2 linked regions of the Saccharomyces cerevisiae S288C genome follow. The protein of the gene in region 1 interacts with the protein of each later gene in a pairwise test. Each region holds a gene or a part of one and is shown on either strand. Other genes may lie near its edges.

The links.
Region 2: the proteins of UGA4 (region 1) and YFT2 interact in a protein complementation assay, tested with the Saccharomyces cerevisiae proteins (one large-scale study listed by BioGRID).

What each region holds. Positions count from the first base shown.
Region 1 is NC_001136.10:77,793-89,541, forward strand, and holds UGA4 (Uga4p), read left to right. Parts: upstream 1-6,477; coding exon 6,478-8,193; downstream 8,194-11,749. Other genes in the region: NOP6 (Nop6p), read right to left, coding at 1-174; SHR3 (Shr3p), read left to right, coding at 634-1,266; YDL211C (uncharacterized protein), read right to left, coding at 1,502-2,620; active spliceosome conformation promoter CWC2, read right to left, coding at 8,415-9,434; snoRNA-binding protein NHP2, read left to right, coding at 9,720-10,190; nucleoporin GLE1, read left to right, coding at 10,456-11,749. UniProt on the Saccharomyces cerevisiae protein: Required for high-affinity, high-specificity GABA transport. Also transports putrescine.
Region 2 is NC_001136.10:1,101,726-1,112,324, forward strand, and holds YFT2 (Yft2p), read right to left. Parts: upstream 4,103-10,599; coding exon 3,278-4,102; downstream 1-3,277. Other genes in the region: HIM1 (Him1p), read left to right, coding at 459-1,703; MCM21 (Mcm21p), read left to right, coding at 2,033-2,084, 2,168-3,222; auxilin-like protein SWA2, read right to left, coding at 4,370-6,376; DAD4 (Dad4p), read right to left, coding at 6,555-6,773; asparaginase ASP1, read left to right, coding at 6,977-8,122; mitochondrial 54S ribosomal protein mL38 MRPL35, read left to right, coding at 8,864-9,967; TIM11 (F1F0 ATP synthase subunit e), read right to left, coding at 10,278-10,568. UniProt on the Saccharomyces cerevisiae protein: Fatty acyl-coenzyme A (CoA) diphosphatase that hydrolyzes fatty acyl-CoA to yield acyl-4'-phosphopantetheine and adenosine 3',5'-bisphosphate. Preferentially hydrolyzes unsaturated long-chain acyl-CoA substrates in the endoplasmic reticulum (ER) lumen.

The sequences.
Region 1 (11,749 bases):
TTTTTTCTTCACGGGTTCTTCACCATCATTTCCGGCTGCACTGTTGGGTCTTTTTCCTTCTGGTGCTTGCTCTTTTTTTACGTCTTTCTCTTGATCTTTTTCCTCCTTACTTTTTCTAAACTGCTGAGCTTTGAGCTGCTTCTTGGTCAACTTTTTATCTTCCTCGGACCCCATTTTAGCTGTAGACGTCTTCAATCTCTATCCTGTCCTCTACATTAGATTACTTTCTCATTTTCTCAGAAAACCTTTTAAGCTCATCGATTAAGAAGAAAAAAATCTTAGAAAATTTTCAGGAATGCCGGGTAAACGTATGGGGAAAGGACTTGGTGAATCGAGTTAATGTGGAGTTCGTAATAATAGTACTCTCATACCAAGTTTTCCATCCATAATTGTTTTTGGTTGCCGTTACTTTACACCATCACCTTTCGCCAATGTAATTGGTGGCTCTTTCCCTCTCCATCTTTTTTTATAATGTACTAAAATTAATACACGATAACAATTTTTTCGGGTTGTGTAAAAACTCTGAAAAATATAAAAAGTTGATGAAAGGACAGATTTAAGTATTTTGGAAGACAGCCGTAAATTCATTGGACTACAGAGCATAAAATCCCGTGATACGATAAAACTCTAACGATGTTCTCATATTCAGATTTCTGTTCTATCGGTACGGCCATGATCTTATCGGCCACAACGTTCCTAATGGGTGTTTTCTTCAGTAACATGCCATACGATTATCATCTTTTATTTAATCCTAACTCTACTCAAGAGCATTTCGATTTGGCACTGAGACATTACCAAATTTTACATGAGACTCCATTGCCGGTGATTGTTACTTTGTGCGTTGTTGCCGGTATTGGCTTAGTTGGTGGTACAATTAAGGTTTTCAAGCCAAACCCTGAACTGCAGATGTTTGAGTATTGTTCATTGGGGTTGTACGTGTTGGCTATCTGTGTGTTTCTCACTAATGTGAAAACAGGTATCGACTGTTCTGTGAGCCATAATTGGGGAGAAGTTACGGAAAATCAGGGTTTGGCAGTTATTGCTTCCTCCAACATAATTTTATTAGTTATGTTTGCCGGTGTTATCATCCTACAAATTGGTTTGTGGTACAGTAACTGGGATTTGCAAAAAAGATTAAAGGAGTTTTATGCTCAAGAAGAAAGAGAAGCTGCCAATGCCGGTAAAAAGACTGAGAAAGTTGACAATGCGAAAAAGAATGATAACAAATCTAAAGGTGCTCAAAAGAGGAAGAACGCCAAAAAATAGGCCATAATATTTTTAACATTTTCTCTTTTTGTCCCTCTTTTCCCGTCTGTGACGAAACAGACGATTATACGAATCTAGTTGTATAGTAAGATCAATATTTATTATATAAATACTGTTGAATAAATAAAACTCTATCTGCTTCGTGCATAAATTTACAAATAATTCCAAAGAAATAGCAACAAGTACCAGCCTTGTTTAGAAGTACGAAAATCTTGGAATCCACTTTTTTCTATTTTTAAATAATTTCTCTCAAAAAGCTATTGGTTTGCTGAATATTTGGCCGAGTAATAGTAGACGCACTGGAACTTGTTTCTTCAATGGATGACTCCGCAGATTCATTGTATGACGATACGTATGAAAATCTCCCGGATTCGTGATCCGCCATCCCATAATAAGGATGTGCTATATATATACCGTCTGAGGAACTAGCTCTGTGTAAATCTCTACCATTTTCAAAGGAATCTCGTTTGCCCTCGCCGTTGGTTGTTACTTTATAATTAAGGACATTTAGGAACGGATTTGACGGTGCTTCTGTTTCTGTTACCTCATCACAACTTACCCTCTTGCCAATATCATGGCTAAAGCCCTTTTTGCTGTGATTTTTCACGTTTCGTCTGTTTCTAATAATTATGAATCCGATAAAAATTACTATTACAACTCCAATGACAACTCCAACCGTAGAACCGACAATAACTCCGGTCCTTCTATTATTGGCATCTGAGGTATCTTGAGTGTTTAGTGCACCAGATAGATATTGATAAAGTTTAGCATCCCCGGTAATGGTATTGGATGGAATGGTGAAAGTTAACGGAGGATTTGATTCTTGAAGCACAGTTGTTTGGGGAAAGTGGGTGTTAAATGTTGTCGATCGCTCTGTAAATTTGTATTCTTGGTCATAGATGATATAAACTGAGTTCTCGCTGGTGAATACGGAGTATATTTCCGATGTAGAGGTTGAGGTAAATGTTGTAGATAATGGTGTTGTTAGTTTAGTCGTCGAAGGCTCTATGGTTGGCACCTGTGAAGTAGTGAAAGTCTTCAATGTACTTAACAGTCCTCTATCGATAGTGATATTGCTTTGAACAGAGGAAGTGCAATTGCTAACCAGATATTGTGGACTTGAAGTGTTGTTGCGGAAGGAAGTCGTACCATATGCGGTTGATATGGGGACCTGAATCGAACTTTCTAAACCCTCAATGAGGTTCGTCGTAATTGAGGATACAACCTCAGTGGATAATGCAAAAATGTGGTCTGTAGCTGATGATAAGCTGGCGGTTTCTGACGTGTCAATTTCACTCAGACTTCTGGATTGAGGTGTGCTTATGTATTGCGAAGACGTTACATTTAGTAGCATGGCGAAGTATCGCAATAGAAAGAATTATCAAGATGCCTCGCGCCTTTTGAGGATGTAAAAATAAATCTTAACGTTCTATGAATTACTTTATTATCTCGAGCAGAACCATCTGAATTTTGTTTACGTTTAATCTATGAGAAATTTCTCTGACGCGAAATCTTTCACGTATTTTTAGAGCGCCCGCCCAAGGTAACATACAATACGGTTGATATCTCCTAGTTTGATGCGGTTAGTGAAATTAATATAATGAACTAATATACTCTTTTTTTTGTAAAATATGTACTTGAGCTGCTGCATTCTTCTTCCATCGTCCAGTGATATCGGTAAACCGGTAGCTTTTTCTTAACTTTGAACAAAGAAGAGATAACTACGGACCCTTCTCCACGTTTCGATCTTTGGCTTCACTTCCTCATAGCCTGTATTTGAATCTAGCAGGTGTAATATTGTGGAAGAATGAAAACAGTATTTTTAATGGATTACTAAGGCATATTTAATGCGTTGTCAAGGAGGATGCTTGCACTGCAAAAACGATACATAAGTTAGCATGGGAATTTCATTAATGAAAGAATAAATGCACCGAAACAAAATCATGAATTAATTGTGGTTTCAGAATAATGAAAAATCCATTGGCTGTTCCTGTTCCTATGTGAATGGTTCATCTCTGCCATAATAATTACTATTTTGTTTAAAGAGTCTTTACTAGATATTGCCGTTCACCTTTTGCCTACGAGCTAGCGATAGAGATTTCTGTATGGTATCTGACTTGACATAATGTCCGACATCCCGTTGAAGATATCAAACAATACATGACAAAGGTCGGGCATTAATCTGCTCAAACATTAATTCTTTAAACCTATCTCGATCATATCTAAGAAAGAAAAAAAACTGGCTTTTCGGTTCCTAGTGTTAACTCCAGTACCTGGTGTTGAGAAAAATTTACTATGTGGCCCGGCTAAGTAGTGCAATATTCTGGTACCATACTTCTAGAAATTTTTGCGCGATAACCTAGTGTTTTCTGACGAAGATTTTGGTGTCATTTGTATCTTCGTCGGTACAAAATGGTAATCATAGTATGTTTCCATGTTTTTGGACAAAAAAAAGAAGAAGGTAGCCAAAGAGCTGAATTTGCTATTCTTTTGTGATTATTGTGCGCAAAATAGTGACATTTTCTTTCTCAAATTAGTTACACCCCGGATCCTAACCTTTACTGGCCTGTTGACGTTATTTGTTACGGGCTCAGCCCATCTGAGTAAATTTGGCAATTGTGTTCAAGTCAACGCCTGGAATCATTCCCAGCGTTTTATTATGGACTGGGACTCTTGCAACTGTTCTACTGGCACAGTGGATTTATAGTGAACTGGATTTTTCAAAAATGGCTTCACTTTGAGAAACACTATTTACTATGTTTGTTAACTTCTTAACAGTGTGTATTACTTTTTTGCCATATTGATATTAAAAAAGTCATTTCGACTGCTGACAGAGAATACAACTAGTAACTGGAGAGATAGCTGGTGCAGTGAGTGATTCCACATAATGCCAGACTTCTACTCGTCAGCCAGTTCGATTGTTGAGGAAACATAGCAAAGCAGTTAAGCTGTTTTATTTGTTGGCGAAATCGAACTTGTGAAAGTTGTGGGCTATCCTCGCTTTGATTACATGAGTAGAACCCAAGGATTTATGGAAAATTTGACTGGCTTCAAGATTTTTAAGGCAGTTCTATGAGATCACACACTTAATCCGCTTCCAGAATTTATTTTCTTTTTTTGATGATTTATGCTCAAGGAATTTACCTGTTCTCAAGAATATGTTTTTAATTCGAAGCTTTGCGTATATGATGTTTATCAATAACGTGTGCATCGTCGATATCTCTTCGCTAACAAAAAGCAATTTAAGTACCAAACAAACAGTAGTAATAGAGTGGGTCTACTTTGTCGATTGCCGTAGCAGGACATTTAACGCAAACGCTTCGGTAATCTGGTGAAATGATTGGATTAGGTGTTTTGTAAATTTTTTTTTTTTTTAGAAGATATTAATGCTGCATAGGGGAGAGATAAACGTCGCGGGAATTTGTGGCGGTGGAGCCCAGGTACGTATTAATTTTGAATGGCGCAAATCTACTAAGTACGGTATCATTTTGATGTCGGAATACGGATAGTCAGTCCATAACTGCACCACCAATATTTTTCTTGCCGTTCTCATTTCCTGCACAGTTTCTTTGATTATGTTTGCAGAAGAATTTCTTTATCGTTTAGTCTAAACAAAGAATTCGTTGTAAAGAATTTGAGAGCGGATCTTGCATTTTTTATTTATCATGCTTATGTTTTTTCTTTGATGTAAGAAGAAGCAAGTAAGATATGTGAATATCTTATCACTAATTCAAATAACTAAGAGAGCTCACAACGACAATTTGTGACAGCATGCGAAGCAAAGAGCAGTGATACCAGTATCTTTCATCCAGTAATAACATACGACTGATGTTATAGTTAAATGTTACATTTTGAGAGACTTCAACCTCTCGAAACCAAGAGGTTGGTTTTAACTCTGGTGACTTCAAGAAGGGTGGGTACCTTTTACAAAGCTTGAGACGAAGCAATAGTCAGTCTCTGTATAACAAGGAGACCACCTCATTTTCCAGTAACTCTTGAGGCATGTCGGATGGTTTGCCTTGAATAAACCGCAGTCATTATAATGAATGGCCTGTACTTTCAAAACAGTCTGGAAACAGAAATCCATTGCTGAGGTACCTTTTAGTAGCACTTTCGTTAGTGAAGGTTTAAGGTTAGTTCTTATTTACTGCACAAGAGTTTACATTTAACCACTCTAATAGTAACTGTTAGAGTGGTTTAACTGTTAGGTGATCTGTTCATTCCATTTTTCGTGTTGTATCTCAAGATGAGATAGCTTAGCGTTGCTACATACATAAATCTAAACATATAAACACCTGTGTAACTCGTTAACGTCTGGGCTTCCATGCTTCTACCATTTAGAATGATGTAGACCATTTATTCCAAGAGGATAAGCACCCTCTGTGATTCAAAATGATAATAAGTGTTGACGACAAGTTACTCTCGCAGAATTGTTGTCAACAGTCTTGTATTAGTTGTTATCCAACGCTCCCGTTTTCAAGTTCACTTAGCGCAAGTGGTTTAGTGGTAAAATCCAACGTTGCCATCGTTGGGCCCCCGGTTCGATTCCGGGCTTGCGCAAGTTTAATTTTTTTTCTTTTTCCACATTGTTTTCCACTTTGCACTCATTTCCAGTGTTTATTGTGAATGACAATTTCTTCAATCATTGAAATGATTGATTTTTTGGGATCTATTTTTCTCTTTAGTGGTTACTGATCAGGCAACTCTATATCATTGTTTAACCGCGGCTTGCGTATCTTATTTTCTTTTTCCTAGGCATCTTACTAAGGTACTCTTATCGCTAATCGCTTATCGCTTATCGTGCGCCAAAAACCGCCGGCGGCAATTTCGAGATGTTTTATGTCATGTTGGATTTTGCAATCTATTACCATGGAGGTGAGGGCCTTCGATGGTCCAATACCGGTGCACGTACCCATGTACGTTTATCGAATAAGGGGAGAACCTACTAATTTTAAGTCGGATAACGCGGCTTGGCACAGTAATCAGTTCCTTCTTTGGGTTAGAATCTTGATGTGAGATTGTGCTCAGTGATAATGATAGCGAATACGGCTTACTCTTGAATAACAAATGCATATATATTAAGAAGTAGTTCAAACGTATTCTGTTGACTGGCATGGTCCTTTCCTTCTTGTTGTGATTATATAAAACAGTATAAGCTGTTTACTTCAGTTGTGAAGTGTAACAAGGTCTTATAATTTATTATTACTAACAATGAGTATGTCAAGCAAAAACGAGAATAAGATATCAGTAGAACAAAGAATATCCACTGATATCGGTCAGGCTTACCAGTTACAAGGCCTTGGGTCTAACCTAAGGTCGATTCGCTCCAAGACTGGTGCCGGTGAAGTGAACTATATCGATGCTGCTAAATCTGTAAATGATAACCAACTGCTTGCAGAGATCGGTTATAAACAAGAATTAAAAAGACAATTTTCAACATTACAAGTTTTCGGTATTGCGTTCTCCATTATGGGTCTATTGCCCTCCATTGCATCTGTGATGGGTGGTGGGCTCGGTGGTGGTCCAGCAACATTAGTGTGGGGTTGGTTCGTTGCTGCGTTTTTCATTTTACTGGTGGGTATTACCATGGCTGAACATGCAAGTTCCATTCCTACCGCTGGTGGTTTGTACTACTGGACGTATTACTATGCTCCAGAAGGTTATAAAGAGATTATTTCTTTTATTATTGGTTGCTCAAACTCCCTAGCGTTGGCAGCCGGTGTGTGTTCCATTGATTACGGTTTGGCTGAGGAAATTGCTGCTGCTGTCACATTAACCAAAGATGGAAATTTTGAAGTAACGAGTGGGAAACTTTACGGTATATTTGCTGGAGCAGTGGTGGTTATGTGTATTTGTACATGTGTTGCTTCTGGGGCCATTGCTCGTCTGCAGACGCTAAGTATATTTGCCAATCTTTTCATTATTGTTTTATTGTTCATTGCGCTACCGATTGGTACCAAGCATAGAATGGGAGGTTTCAATGATGGTGACTTTATATTTGGGAAATATGAAAACTTAAGTGACTGGAATAATGGTTGGCAATTTTGTCTTGCTGGTTTCATGCCTGCTGTCTGGACTATTGGTTCCTTTGATTCATGTGTCCATCAATCTGAAGAAGCCAAAGATGCCAAGAAATCAGTCCCCATTGGTATAATCTCATCTATTGCTGTTTGTTGGATTTTAGGTTGGTTGATTATTATTTGTTTAATGGCCTGTATCAACCCTGATATTGACAGCGTTTTGGACTCCAAGTACGGCTTTGCTTTGGCTCAAATAATTTATGATTCGTTAGGAAAAAAATGGGCCATTGCATTTATGTCATTGATCGCATTCTGTCAATTTCTAATGGGTGCTTCCATTACCACAGCTGTTTCTAGACAAGTTTGGGCATTTTCCCGTGATAACGGTTTGCCCCTATCAAAGTATATTAAAAGAGTGGATTCTAAATACTCGGTCCCTTTTTTCGCTATTTTGGCTGCCTGTGTAGGTTCCTTGATTTTAGGATTGTTATGTTTGATTGATGATGCCGCCACTGATGCATTATTTAGTCTGGCTGTTGCAGGAAACAATTTGGCATGGAGTACCCCTACAGTTTTCCGTTTAACATCAGGTAGAGATTTATTTAGACCTGGTCCATTTTATTTGGGTAAAATCTGGTCTCCAATTGTTGCTTGGACAGGTGTTGCTTTCCAATTGTTCATTATTATTTTGGTTATGTTCCCCTCTCAACAACATGGTATTACTAAATCCACAATGAATTATGCATGCGTTATTGGTCCCGGTATCTGGATCCTTGCAGGTATCTACTACAAAGTTTACAAGAAGAAATACTACCACGGTCCAGCAACCAATTTGTCGGATGATGATTATACTGAAGCCGTTGGTGCTGATGTTATCGACACAATTATGTCCAAACAGGAACCATAAATGTTCAAACCTTTATAAAGATTTTATATTCAGAGTTTATAAGGTCTAGCTTATATAGTCAGTATTTTTAATTTAATTATATTATAGTTTATCCTATCTCACCGTTTTAGCTTGTTTTCTGCGCCCAAACATAAAAATCAAGAAGCGCGGATAATTTATGATCAGCTCAGCGGGAATGTTAATGGCAGATACTTAGAATTTGGTGGAAACGATTTTCTTCTCTAATCCTCATCAGAGGAGAGGTAATCGAGCAAGGGACCACCAAGCTTACCAACAGATGGCTTTGATGAAATATTTTCTCTACTGATATTTTTTTTCACTTTCTTCAATTTTTCTATAAAATCATCACTCTCCATTCCATTATCTAATGGCAATAGTCTTTTCTTGACATTATCAACACTTGCTTCTGGAAATGTCCTGTCTAACCTTTCATTATTCTTATTATTAACCTCAGTGCCAGCACTATTGGTATTGTTATTGATTAGATGCACCATCATGTTTAAAGACTCTAACTTCAGTTCTTCTTGCAGTCTTTTCTGTGCAGCGGGGTCTGGATCTTCATTTGCCCATTTCACCAATAGTCCAGTACCCTCCCTTCTATCATCCCATTCTTTATCGCTGGGTAGCAGCAATGTCTGATTGCTCATGGCTTCTTTGGCAAATTCTGCATTAGCTTGATATTTAAACTTCACAAATCCACAGTTTTTGCTCTCAACGTATCGTATTCTATCAATATCACCCAATCGAGAAAATACAAATCGAATTCTGCTTTCTATCTGAGCTGGCTTCAAATGCTTGCTATTCAATGCTCCATCAATACCACCTACATACAATGTCTTGTTTTTCTTCCTAAATGAACCGATCCCGCCCATATCCTCTCTATAGTCAGCAAATTTTTCTCTACCAAAACAGTCCAATACCTCTGTCCTCAGGGCCAGTTTACCTATATCTTCTTCGTCTGGTATATGATGCAGATATTCACATTTAGGGCCAAGGCAACACATACCCTTTGCAAAAAATAGACAGAAGAACAACTGGCCATCATTATCGCCCCTAGTCTTCCCAGAATGAAGTTGCGGCTGCAAAGCAAATGGACTAACAAATCGTGTATTCCCCGCAAACCCTTGGGACCATTTATTATACCATATATTAAACGTCAATCCAGTCTGCGCCGGTATAGAGGAGGGCAGTTCTGACTCCTTCACTTGCACTTTCGCGGATTTATCCCTCCAAGATGTCATCCAAATTTCTATCAATGCGTATACTGTCTTACTAACGTCGTTACTACCTTAAGGCCCATCGCCAGTAGTCTTTATTATGATCCAGCCTTCAATACATAATGGAAAATTTCATCATTACCCGCATATGTACGTATGTAACGATGGAATGCTCAAAAACTGAAAAAAATTTTTCTGAAAAAAAGTGATGAGGAATAAAGAAAAGTAAAAAACGAATGCATGATATAGTAGTAGTAAATGGTCAATGGATCATTGGGTAGCAGAGAAACGGAAACAAGTGCAGTAAAAATGGGTAAAGACAACAAGGAACATAAGGAAAGCAAAGAAAGCAAAACCGTAGACAACTATGAGGCCAGAATGCCTGCTGTGTTGCCATTCGCTAAACCATTGGCCTCTAAGAAACTAAACAAGAAGGTCTTGAAGACCGTGAAGAAGGCTTCCAAGGCCAAGAATGTTAAAAGAGGTGTCAAGGAAGTTGTCAAGGCCTTAAGAAAGGGTGAAAAAGGTTTAGTCGTCATCGCCGGTGACATTTCTCCAGCTGATGTTATTTCCCACATCCCAGTCTTATGTGAAGATCACTCTGTCCCATACATCTTCATACCTTCAAAGCAAGACTTAGGTGCCGCTGGCGCTACAAAAAGACCTACCTCAGTTGTCTTTATCGTCCCAGGTAGCAATAAGAAAAAAGATGGAAAAAATAAAGAAGAAGAATACAAGGAATCTTTCAACGAAGTTGTCAAAGAAGTTCAAGCTTTATGAAAAAAGTTCGCTTCTTAACCATATTAGAAATCTAGAAGAAATAAAAAAAATCTGGCATTAGATATATATTTTGACTGTAGGCCTTCTGTATATTATATAATACTACTAATAACATCAAATGTTTGTGACTTTTCGGGTAACCGGGCTTCGTTCTACTGTTCCACTTTTTGTATGTTTAATGAAAATATCATCAAAGAAATAGGTATATAATTGATAACAAGAGAATCGCGGGCCGTTGCTACAGGATATTCTGCAGAGTCGAAGAATGAGATTTGTGTTCGATGAGGTTTTCAATTCAGATACTGATTCTCCAGAATTTGAGGAAACATGTTCTACAACATCTTCTACGTCATCGCAATGCCCTACACCTGAGCCGAGCCCAGCAATAAAGTTACCTTCATTCACGAAAGTTGGCACGAAGAAATTGGTAAATGAGTCGGTAGTTATTTTAGATCCTGCTCTAGAAAACGCCTTGCGCGATTTGAACCTTCAATCGAAACTGATCCCCATTAATGAGCCCATTGTAGCCGCGTCATCGATAATAGTACCGCATTCAACCAATATGCCACTACCGAGAGCATCGCATTCGTCATTGCTAGATAATGCTAAGAACTCAAATGCGACAGCACCCTTACTCGAGGCAATAGAAGAATCTTTTCAAAGGAAAATGCAAAACTTGGTGCTTGCCAATCAGAAAGAAATTCAATCTATTAGAGAAAATAAACGTCGTGTTGAAGAGCAACGTAAGCGAAAAGAGGAGGAAGAGCGCAAACGTAAGGAAGCTGAGGAAAAGGCCAAGCGGGAGCAGGAATTATTACGTCAAAAGAAGGATGAAGAAGAACGTAAACGCAAAGAAGCTGAAGCAAAGCTAGCGCAGCAGAAACAAGAAGAAGAAAGGAAGAAAATAGAAGAACAGAATGAAAAGGAAAGACAATTGAAAAAAGAACATGAAGCCAAATTATTGCAGCAGAAGGATAAATTGGGTAAAGCAGTTACAAACTTTGATAAAATCTCCAAAATGTTTTGGCATTATAAAGACAAAATTGCTCAAATAAAGCAAGACATAGTTCTGCCTATAAAAAAAGCTGATGTGAATGTAAGGAATTTGCTCTCACGTCATAAAAGGAAAATTAACCCGAAATTCGGACAATTAACTAATAGCAACCAGCAACTTTTTAAAATACAGAATGAACTAACTCAATTGATAAATGATACTAAAGGCGACTCTCTAGCATATCATTGGATTTTAAACTTTATTGCCAAAGCCGTAGTACATCAGGCGGAAACAGAAGTCAGGGTAAAACCAGAGTCTGCTCTGCCCCTAGGGAAATTGACTTTATATTTGTTAGTCCAATTCCCAGAGTTACAGGAATTGTTTATGGCAAGACTTGTCAAGAAATGCCCCTTTGTGATAGGATTCACGTGTGAGATTGACACAGAAAAAGGCCGTCAAAACATGGGATGGAAAAGAAACAACGAGAATAAATGGGAAGATAACACATCCTACGATGAGAGAATGGGCGGGATCTTATCATTATTTGCCATAATAACGAGATTAC
Region 2 (10,599 bases), 1.0 Mb from region 1:
AATGTTACCAATCGTTATCCTTTTTTATCATCAATCCGTGCGTTTCAGTTGCTTTTAAATTTGATAACGCATTCTTATCATTTATGTCATTTTATTACATCATATATGATAATATTCCGTCACCTTGAATACTCATCAAGAAACGATAAGTTGTTGTAATTTAACAGTAACTCTGCATATAATTCAACAGGTAAAAACTAACTTTTATATCCTTGAACTTCTTCATTTTTGTGTCTTTCATTGAAAGTATAATTTTCCTTTTTTTTTTTTGGTTTTCAATACATATAATGATGGGTGACATTTTTTGTGTCATTTAGATTAAAAGAAATTTTAAGAAAAATTGACGTATTTAATTTTGATCCGCAGTAAACGCTATAAATTCTTTTTAATATAAATGACAGCTTTTTATACATATAGACCCTTTGAAGAATATTCCAAACTAGAAAGGTTGATCAGAAATGAGTTATAGTGTCAACACGTTTACAGATTACGTTTTATTGTTTGGATCATCTAGTTTAGTAGGAAAAGGTATTTTAGAGAACCTGTTGGACATAAATTTATATATTAAAAATGTTTCGGACCTACAAGGCAAGCTTGATAGCTTAAGTGAAATAAAGGGAAATGTCGTTCTCAATAAACATGTCTTTTGTGTTAATAGAAGGTGCATCAATGAGGAGAAATCATTTATGAAGACCATTGATTATATAAATATGAGATCAGTTACTTGGCAAGGTGGCAGATATTACTTGAGAAGCAGGAAAGAAAAAGACACTGAAAAAGTACCGTCTAGTCCTAATACTTTTTGTTATGATAATTTTGAAGAAGGATTTATTAAAAATACGCCTGAAGAGAGGGGAAAAGATGGTTATTCTTTTGTTTATAATCAGAAACAGTTCAGTTACACACTACATTATGCATGCGGAAAGGAAAAAGGTATTGAGATCATTTGTAATTTTACTGTAACGCAATTGATCATCCCCAGATCTGAAACTTGGCCAAAATTGCTTCCACGGATATTCTCAGGAACACAAAAGCTGGAAAAGTTTGACATTGACAACAAAAATTACGTTCCCGGTAGAAGTTTGCCTAGTCTGTGTGATATTAGCACTATGGTGTGCTCTTTGGGCTCCACCTCAGCTAGAGTGCGGAGAACTCAGGTACCAAGTTCCTTTGCTGACTATTACTTACCTTTTAATTTAGCACAAGAATTCACGAATACAACTAACAAAAGGTTGGTGGTTACAACTGCCTTTAATAATGATTTTCTTAGTAAAACTTTCGAGTATTTTAGAATAAAAGCTAAATTAGAAAATGACTTGGATGAAGCTTTGCCAAATAAGCTAAAGGAGCTAGTTATTTTGAGGCCAGGTCCGATGTGTGGACAGCACGGAAATCCTATAAACGTTGAATTGGGTAAAGAAAACTCCACTTTCTTGGAAAAAATTTTTTATTATCCTCACTATCTTTTAGTTTATAAAAAGAAATATATCAGTGAGGCCAGAAGGATTGGCTTAAGAACAAAGTTAAGCGAAATAATTGCTTCCAGTATATATAGGATGCCAGGATCTGCATTATTAGGATACGCTGTCCCAGTTTCAAAGGTTTCTTATGTTGCCTCTTTGATGGCGATTGAAAGGAAAAGTAAAGAGGCGGGACCTAAGCTGGAAGTAATTAGCAGTTATCAAATTGATATGATTGTGTGAACAGTCAGTCTTTTCTTTTGATAGATGCGAAGTTATTAAATAAATAGTAGCCTAATACATAAAAGAACCACTATATCATGGATTCGATACCTGGGCCGTCTTAAATTTTTATCGCATTGAATATGCAAACTTTATGTATTGTTTTACTAATCGCCAGTAATGGCCGACCAATTCTATGATAGATCTTCCCTAAGTTTATAATGATGGTAAGAAAACGCGCATATTTCAAAACTGAAGAAAAAACAAACAAAAGCCATATGGATAATGAGGGGAAAATGTGATTTCTTTACTTGAGCAATTCTTTCAAACTATCAGTAACGCTCCTGGCAATGAGTAGAATCGATGATTTACAGCAGGACATTGAATCTTTACTCAGTGAAAGTATGTGATTTTGAGGCTGTAACAATTTTCTTTCTTTTAAAAAAATGATTAAGTTGAACACTAACATAGTAGAATCTTCACAGTCAATTCATTAGAAGAAAGTCGTGAGAAGCTCAAAGCGAAGATAAAAGATAAAAGAAAAAATGAGGAGAGCGCTAATCCTATAGTACAAGAATTTGAAGATCTATTCGATCAATTCCCACAGTTGAATAATTTTTTATTTAATGAGCATCCAGAATTGGAAGAGACAGATGACAAGGACATATCAAGGGCGCAAGCGGATATACCAGCAACGCCAATACCGTATGAACCAAAGAAAAGAGCTAAGCTGGAGAATGAGGAAATTTTACCAGAACAAGAATGGGTTTTAAAGACCCAGCCAATGGTTCAGCATCAAATGTTTGATCCTGGGGTGGCAGATTTATTGGATACAGACATTCTAACGTCACCTTCAAAAAGAAAGCGAAAACTAAAAATAGACGATATTAGTACAAGTGATAGAAGTGAGTTGGAAGATTATATTGTCCTGGAAAATGTTTATAGAATGTTTGGTATAACATTTTTCCCTCTTGTGGACCCTATTGACCTTAAGATAAAAGATGCTAGCGGTGAAATATTTGTTGATAGAGAAATGCTGGGAATACGACTGGAAGTCTTCAGCGAACGGACATCCCAATTTGAAAAACCTCACTATGTATTGTTGAAAAAGAGGATCAAATCGAATAGTTGGTTCCTGTTCAAGCATACAATCCCGAGTTTCATTGATGTCCAAGGTATATTTGATGACACCAATGGGGGACTAGTGATATCTCATGATGACGCCTATTTATTTGCTAAAAGAGTCTTCCTGCAACTTGTGGAAGTACAGAAAAGACGACAGATTTTTAAGGACTTAGAAGCTAAGAAGATAATCCACGACTTAGATTTAGATTTAGAATCTTCAATGGTTTCGTTTTTTGTGAAGGATATTAAAGTCGAGTTGTTTGTAAAACAAAATGAAATAGTTTCATGTTCAATATTGGACGATATTCATGATTTTAGTCAAAATAATAAAAGTAAATGGGAAATTGCATTGCTCGGTTCTTTGGATGATTTGGAATTAAAATTAAACCATTCTTTCGCGACAATATTCAAGTGAATGTTAACAAAAATATACTTTATAGAAAGAGGATAGAGCTAATTTTCTCTGTTTATCATAGATATAAGTAATTGTGTAGTATCCCAATTTTGGGTAGAATGTGGTATATGAAAACAGGGCATATGAAACCCATAAGGCAACCTAACACTTTTTCCAAGATAGTATGATAATAAATAGCGGTAACCCAGAGAATACATATCCAAATTACTAGGACAGCGCAAACAATGGCAAGGCAAGCTCGTACCCACTTATTCACAACCCAAAACATATCTTCAGCTTGAACAAATCTACTGAATAAGTGAAGTTCCATCCAAAGAATCATGCTTATACTCACAAGAAAGCAGAAGTGTCCACTAATGTCAAACCCACCATCCCATTTCCCATTTTCTAGACGGCACTTTTCAGCTGATGTCGTTTTACTACCAGAACTGCATTCTCCCCCTGTCCAAATGAAAACATGATCGATAAATTGGAAATTCAAAAACAATAATAGATATTTTAGAACGAACTTGCAAGCATATTGAGTGATCATAATACTGATTATTCTATTTTTGAGCAGAGGCCAATGGTTAGTATATGTTAAATAGGAAGAGCTAGTTTCGGTACTTGATATTGGTAAAGGCAATATATCCATTCTTGCTAGATAGTGGAAGTATATTTGCAGAAAAGCCAAACTAAAGAATAAAAATGGCCACAGTTGGTTCGCTTTGTATGCAAAAATAACATTGAAAATATTGGACGATTTCAATAGAGCGCATGTCTCTTTTTGATGGTTTAATGTTTCTGAAGATACTACTATTGATAATAATGCGCCTACAAAAACTTGAAAGGGGTAAATGAGATACGCCTTCCTTGACCAATAATTGAGCTGACGTATCATAATCTTTTTCAATTTTTAGTCGTTCAGTGGTTTTAATACAATGCCCTATTTCTATTGTGTTTTAACATTGTGATATTTTGAATTTTTTTTTTTTTTTTGCAGATTGTTTTTCATATTAATCAAATTGGGTGCCACTTGTAAGTCAATAAATGAAACTAAGCCTTTCCATACTTTTTCCTAACGCGCTTTGAAGAATTTGTTTTCCTATATATATTTGTATAAAGTACATATCAAAAACAACTGAGCGAAGCAGGCACACAAGGGAAATCAGTTAATGTCATTCTGCAGTTTGAACTTATCCCAAGCAATACTTAAAGTACTGAAAATATTCTCTGCAATCATCTTATTTTCCAGGGACAAGGACTCTGGTATCTTATCAGGATGTGTCTTGGCTACAGCTTTCATGTATGTAATTTTGACCCTCTTAGGCATAACCAAATCTTGCATAGAGACATCCTTCCAATTGCACCATGTTAGTAAGCTGGATAAATTTGCTAACAGATGACGAATGTCATCGTCTTTGCCATCCTTCCAGGAGCTAATTTTCTCAAATACTTTATCATATAGCGCCAGTTTAGCGTTTTCTAGCTCCCGTTTTTTTATTTCTGAAGTGCTATCAACAGAAATTGGAGAATTTGAAGAAGAAGCGGTTAAGTTCTGTTTTTTTGTTGCAGGCGAGGTTGTCGTTGTCTTCTTCTTAACGGGCATGGATTTTTTAACAGGGGGAGGATTAATAAAGTCTTGGCATCTTCTTTTTCCCTGCATGATTTTATCATCAAAAAAATTCTTCTTAATCAGCTCTTGGTATGTTTCTAGTGCTTTTTTGAAACTTTCTAAATGTTCAAAAGACTCAGCACGCCTAATCATAATCTTTGGCCAGATGTCGTTAAATGATCTTTCAGGGTCACTATTTGAGATTTTATTCTTCCACTTAGCTTTGCTTGATGGGAATAATTCCAAAGCCATGCTGGAGTTTTCTATGGACTTAGAGTACTCACCGATTTTCAGTTGCGAGGCAATAATGTTTGATAATGCAATGATCCTCAATGGATGATTTAAAGGCAATGTATTTAAAGACTTTTCATATTCTTGTAATGAGTTAATATAATCCCCGTTCTTGAACAAACTAGTACCTTTCGCCTTAAATTCGTTATACCCCGATAATTCAATATCTGAGATGGGTATTGTAGAGTCAGTGTTGCTGTTTTCATTGAAGAGGGTGCTATCTTCATTGCTTTTACTATTGGTGAGATTTCCTTCTGAAAAGTCGAGAAGACTATCCTCTATCAGGGGCTCATTTCTTCGCGAATTTTCTTCAATTAGTATACCAGAAGTCGGTGAGGAGGAGTGGGAGACATCAGGCGCTGTCCTCTTTGTTATATCAATCTTTGTTTCGAAATCAGTTAAAAGATCTTGATCCGGATTATCGGCAGGTGGTAAGTTCTCTACGACTTCATTATCTTCAAACAAAATTCTATTGGGTGAGTCGTTTACTTGAGGCAAATCATAATCCTCAACCTTATCATGAGTTTTTGAGTAATTATTCAGTCTATCATTTGCCTCAGGTGGGAAGGAGGTCCATTGGTCTACCAGTTTCTTACCCTTATTGAAAAAATCAGTGGCCATGCTGAATAAATTATTGCTATCTGTACCAACAATGTTGGATAATCCTGACTTTTCCATTTTTATACCACTTTCTTTCTTTCTTATAGCTAGATCGTTGCGCTCCTTTTGCTTTGACTTTAAAATCTCCAAATATCTTTCATAAGTTACGTCATTTTCGTAAAACTCAGTGGCTTCTTCAATTGATAAACCTAGAGACATCAATCTTGCTATTTCCATATCCTTAACTTCATCAACTAAGGCGTCATCACCATTGTAAAGGTGGTCTTCCTTGCTTCCATAGTAATCCTCATCCGGTTTTTGGATCGTATCCGTTGTAGTTACTGTGCCCATACCAAATAGTTGATTGAAGTCGTCATCGGTATTGGCAAGAGCCGAGGGAGGTGTGTTGTTGGCAGTATTAGATTTAGTGGTGCTATTAGTTGGGACCAAAGGAGGTGCAGAAAAATCTACCTTCGGTGACGGTATCAGCGGAGGAGCTGAAATTGAATGCAGACTATCATTGGGGCTTTTATCCGTCCTTGCAACATCTGCAACAGCGGAACCAGTAATGGAAGGCGAATTGCTGCTCTGAGGAGTTGTTTCCTTGGATGCAGATGCAGAGTCCTTATTCTTCAAAGAAGTCAGTAAATGTGCAAATGGATCTGACATTGATGTTGACTGTTTCTTGCAGGCTGCGTCCTTTCCAGAAGCACAGGAATAGGTTAAGCGATGTGCTGTTATTTTTTTCTCCTTTTCGCAGGAAACAGTGATCTTAAATGAATATATTAGAAACGGTATAGCATATATATATGTGTATATGAGTATGCGTATATAGAAAATTGGTGAATTAAAGAGGTGGCTTCTTGTTATTGGTCGCTTCCAGGTTGAATTGGACGCTACTATGGTAGTTATCACAAATTGCGCCCATGATTTCTAGATTTTTGTTCCGATTATTAATGGTCACAAGCTCCTGGTTAAGAATTGCCACGCTCTCATTGAGCCTTTTGACATTACCAATTATTCGCGAAAGTATGTTAGCCTGCACTTGTTCATGAGGGTTCTCCATGTTATGCTTTCTTTCCTAAACTCACTTCTTTTCCTCCCTATCTGCTTTTGTTTATTACAGTTGAAGGCTACTTGTGCCGTTCGTGTGAAAAAATACTCGATGAAAAAAAAAAAAAAAAGATGATGACGATGACTTTGTTGAAGAAATGTGTTTGAAGACAGTGGAGGATAACAGCACTCTCATCGCACTTTTGGAAGCGTATCATGAAAAGCGATTCAGTTGAAATCACTACCATCTGCCCAGATGTTGAAAATTCTCAGTTTGTTGTGCAAAGCAACTGTCCAGAGACTATTCCAGAGATTCTAAAGTCTCAAAATGCCGCTGTGAATGGCAGCGGCATCGCTTGCCAACAACGTAGCTTACCAAGAATCAAAATCTTGGGTACCGGTGGTACTATTGCATCGAAAGCTATAGACTCCTCTCAAACTGCCGGCTATCATGTTGACCTGACCATCCAAGATCTATTGGATGCCATTCCAGATATATCCAAGGTCTGTGACATTGAATATGAGCAACTATGCAACGTGGATTCTAAAGACATAAACGAGGATATTCTTTATAAAATTTATAAGGGCGTCTCAGAATCGTTGCAGGCTTTTGACGGTATAGTTATTACCCATGGGACTGATACGCTATCTGAAACTGCATTCTTTATTGAAAGTACTATTGATGCTGGCGACGTTCCTATTGTTTTTGTTGGTTCGATGCGTCCTTCAACCAGCGTTTCTGCTGATGGCCCTATGAACCTTTACCAAGCAATTTGCATTGCTTCAAATCCAAAATCTAGAGGAAGAGGTGTTCTTGTTTCCTTGAATGACCAAATTTCCTCTGGTTACTACATTACTAAGACGAATGCAAATAGTTTGGATTCTTTTAATGTTAGACAAGGCTATTTAGGAAATTTTGTCAACAATGAAATTCACTACTATTATCCTCCTGTGAAACCGCAAGGTTGCCACAAATTCAAACTGAGAGTGGACGGTAAGCATTTTAAATTACCAGAGGTTTGCATTTTATATGCTCACCAAGCCTTTCCGCCAGCTATAGTCAACTTAGTGGCAGATAAGTATGATGGTATTGTTCTTGCTACCATGGGTGCTGGTTCATTGCCGGAGGAGGTCAATGAAACCTGCATGAAATTGAGTTTGCCGATCGTATATTCCAAGAGATCGATGGATGGTATGGTGCCTATTGCCAACGTACCAAAGAAAGGTTCAAAGGAGGATAATCTCATCGCATCTGGTTATCTAAGCCCTGAAAAGAGCAGAATCTTGTTACAATTATGTTTGGCAGGTAACTACACGTTGGAAGAAATTAAACATGTTTTCACTGGCGTCTATGGTGGGTGAAAATTTTGTAATTTTTTGCATTTGTGTCGATATATATATATATATACATAGACACAGAGATAGAGATATAATTATGCAAGTCCCTGTTAATGCTAGTCTGAGATGAGTACAGGAATTCTTCATTTAGATTGTCTCGGCTATGTCACTTTTCTATCGTTTCACCTGCACATGGCTTTGTCTTGAATACTGAAGCCGTTATTATAGTTCTATCTTCATGTTTTTAGAGGTTTTTTTTAAATGAGTTTATTAAAATTAAATTTTGAATGTTATTTTTGAATAAAAATATAAAAAAAATAATATTAATAATTTTTCATTAACTGCTCATGATATCAGTGCATTAGAAAATCTTTTGGTTCCACTTTTCCTATAAAAATAATTCAAGTTTTATCATTATATCATTTTTAAATATTTGATTATCATCGCCCGCTGGTCACCGCATTTTTAAAGAATAAATATTACTTTTTTCGAAATCTGGTGTTTAAATATTTTTAAGAAAGTTAAAAAATAAGGAATATTTGATAAACAAAAAAAAATTAGCCTTTATATATCCATTTTTGTTTATGTATTCCTTTTTTTATTTTCTTATGTGTTTGGGATTTACTGTCGCAGTCTTTTCAAATTTTCCGGGCTAAACCGGAAGCCGGAAGGTCTGGGATAAGACAACAGTATCCAATACAATATCAGACTACAGCAAAAAGCTTATTCAGAGATCTTTACAGAAATCAAGGTCACTGCCGAACTATGTTACGAAGATCTATTCATACCACTAAAATCCTCCAAAAACCTAATGCTACTTCGCATATTTGGTCGGACTTTACCACAAGGCCTAGTTCACTTTCTATCCAATCTTCAAAAGTGAAAAATTACCTTTTCCAGAAGAAAGCTTCTCTAGACCCACCATCTATCAGCAGAAGAAGTAACCGTATCAAATATTCACCTCCAGAACACATTGATGAGATTTTCAGGATGAGTTATGATTTTCTTGAGCAAAGATCCAGTAAGTTTTATGAGTTGGCCAATAAGACTAAAAATCCCTTGAAGAAGGATGCACTTCTCATAAAAGCAGAGATCAATAATCCTGAGGTACAATACAATTTTCAGTTTAATAACAAGTTGAACAATGTTAAGGATATAATAGATTATGATGTGCCAGTGTACAGACATTTGGGGAAACAACATTGGGAATCGTACGGCCAGATGTTATTGATGCAAAGGTTAGAAACGTTGGCTGCCATTCCTGATACTCTTCCAACTCTGGTTCCACGGGCAGAAGTGAATATCAAATTTCCCTTCTCTACTGGTGTAAATAAGTGGATCGAACCTGGTGAATTTCTATCGTCCAATGTCACATCCATGCGTCCCATTTTCAAAATTCAAGAATATGAACTTGTGAACGTTGAAAAACAATTGTATACGGTACTGATAGTCAATCCTGATGTTCCAGATTTGAGTAATGACTCATTTAAAACGGCTTTGTGTTACGGATTGGTGAATATTAATTTGACTTATAATGACAATTTAATAGATCCAAGAAAGTTCCACAGTTCTAATATTATCGCTGACTACTTACCTCCGGTACCTGAAAAGAATGCTGGAAAACAGAGATTCGTTGTTTGGGTATTCAGACAACCCTTAATCGAGGATAAGCAAGGTCCTAACATGTTAGAGATTGACCGAAAGGAACTAAGTAGAGATGATTTTGATATCAGGCAATTTACGAAGAAATACAATCTAACCGCTATTGGGGCACATATCTGGAGAAGCGAATGGGATGCCAAAGTCGCCGCCGTCAGAGAAAAATATGGCCTACCACCTGGAAGGGTTTTTAGCAGAGTTAGAAGGTGATCCTAAATAGTATGACATTATAGTATCCTGTACATATAAAATAACGTGTCATTGTTAATAAAGCTTGATGCAAATAATATAAAGTAAGAATCTGAAAAATTTTTGGAATGTGAATTTTGTTTACAATACGATACGTATGATATTAGTATGTTCTAGAATATATACATTTCATTTTTTTCCTTATTGTTTGTGCACTAACGAATGAAGAAAAAAATATGGAACATCTAGCGAACGAGAATCCATCATAACTTCGTCATTCAGTGCGAGCTAATGTGCATTTTTAGTATCCTATTTATGTTGAAGCTTCTATTTATGTTGAAGCTTCCTTCAGGGATTCAACGGCGTTAAGAATAACTCTTTCAAAATCTATATTAGGATCTTCCAAATTAAATGAGGCGTTCGCAGGCACATCTTTAGGAGTTACTACAGGGTGTAGCTTGGCGTATTCCTTCTTTGCCTCCTCTACCAGCTTCAATTTCTCCTCGTACTGTGCCTGCTCCTCTTTCTTCTTAGCATTACACTTCAAAATCATATCATTTCTAAAACCAAAAAATAGCCCCAAACCCAACGCAGAGTATCTCAAAACATTAACTGTCGACATCCTTTAACTCACTCAGCTAGTTCCTATATAC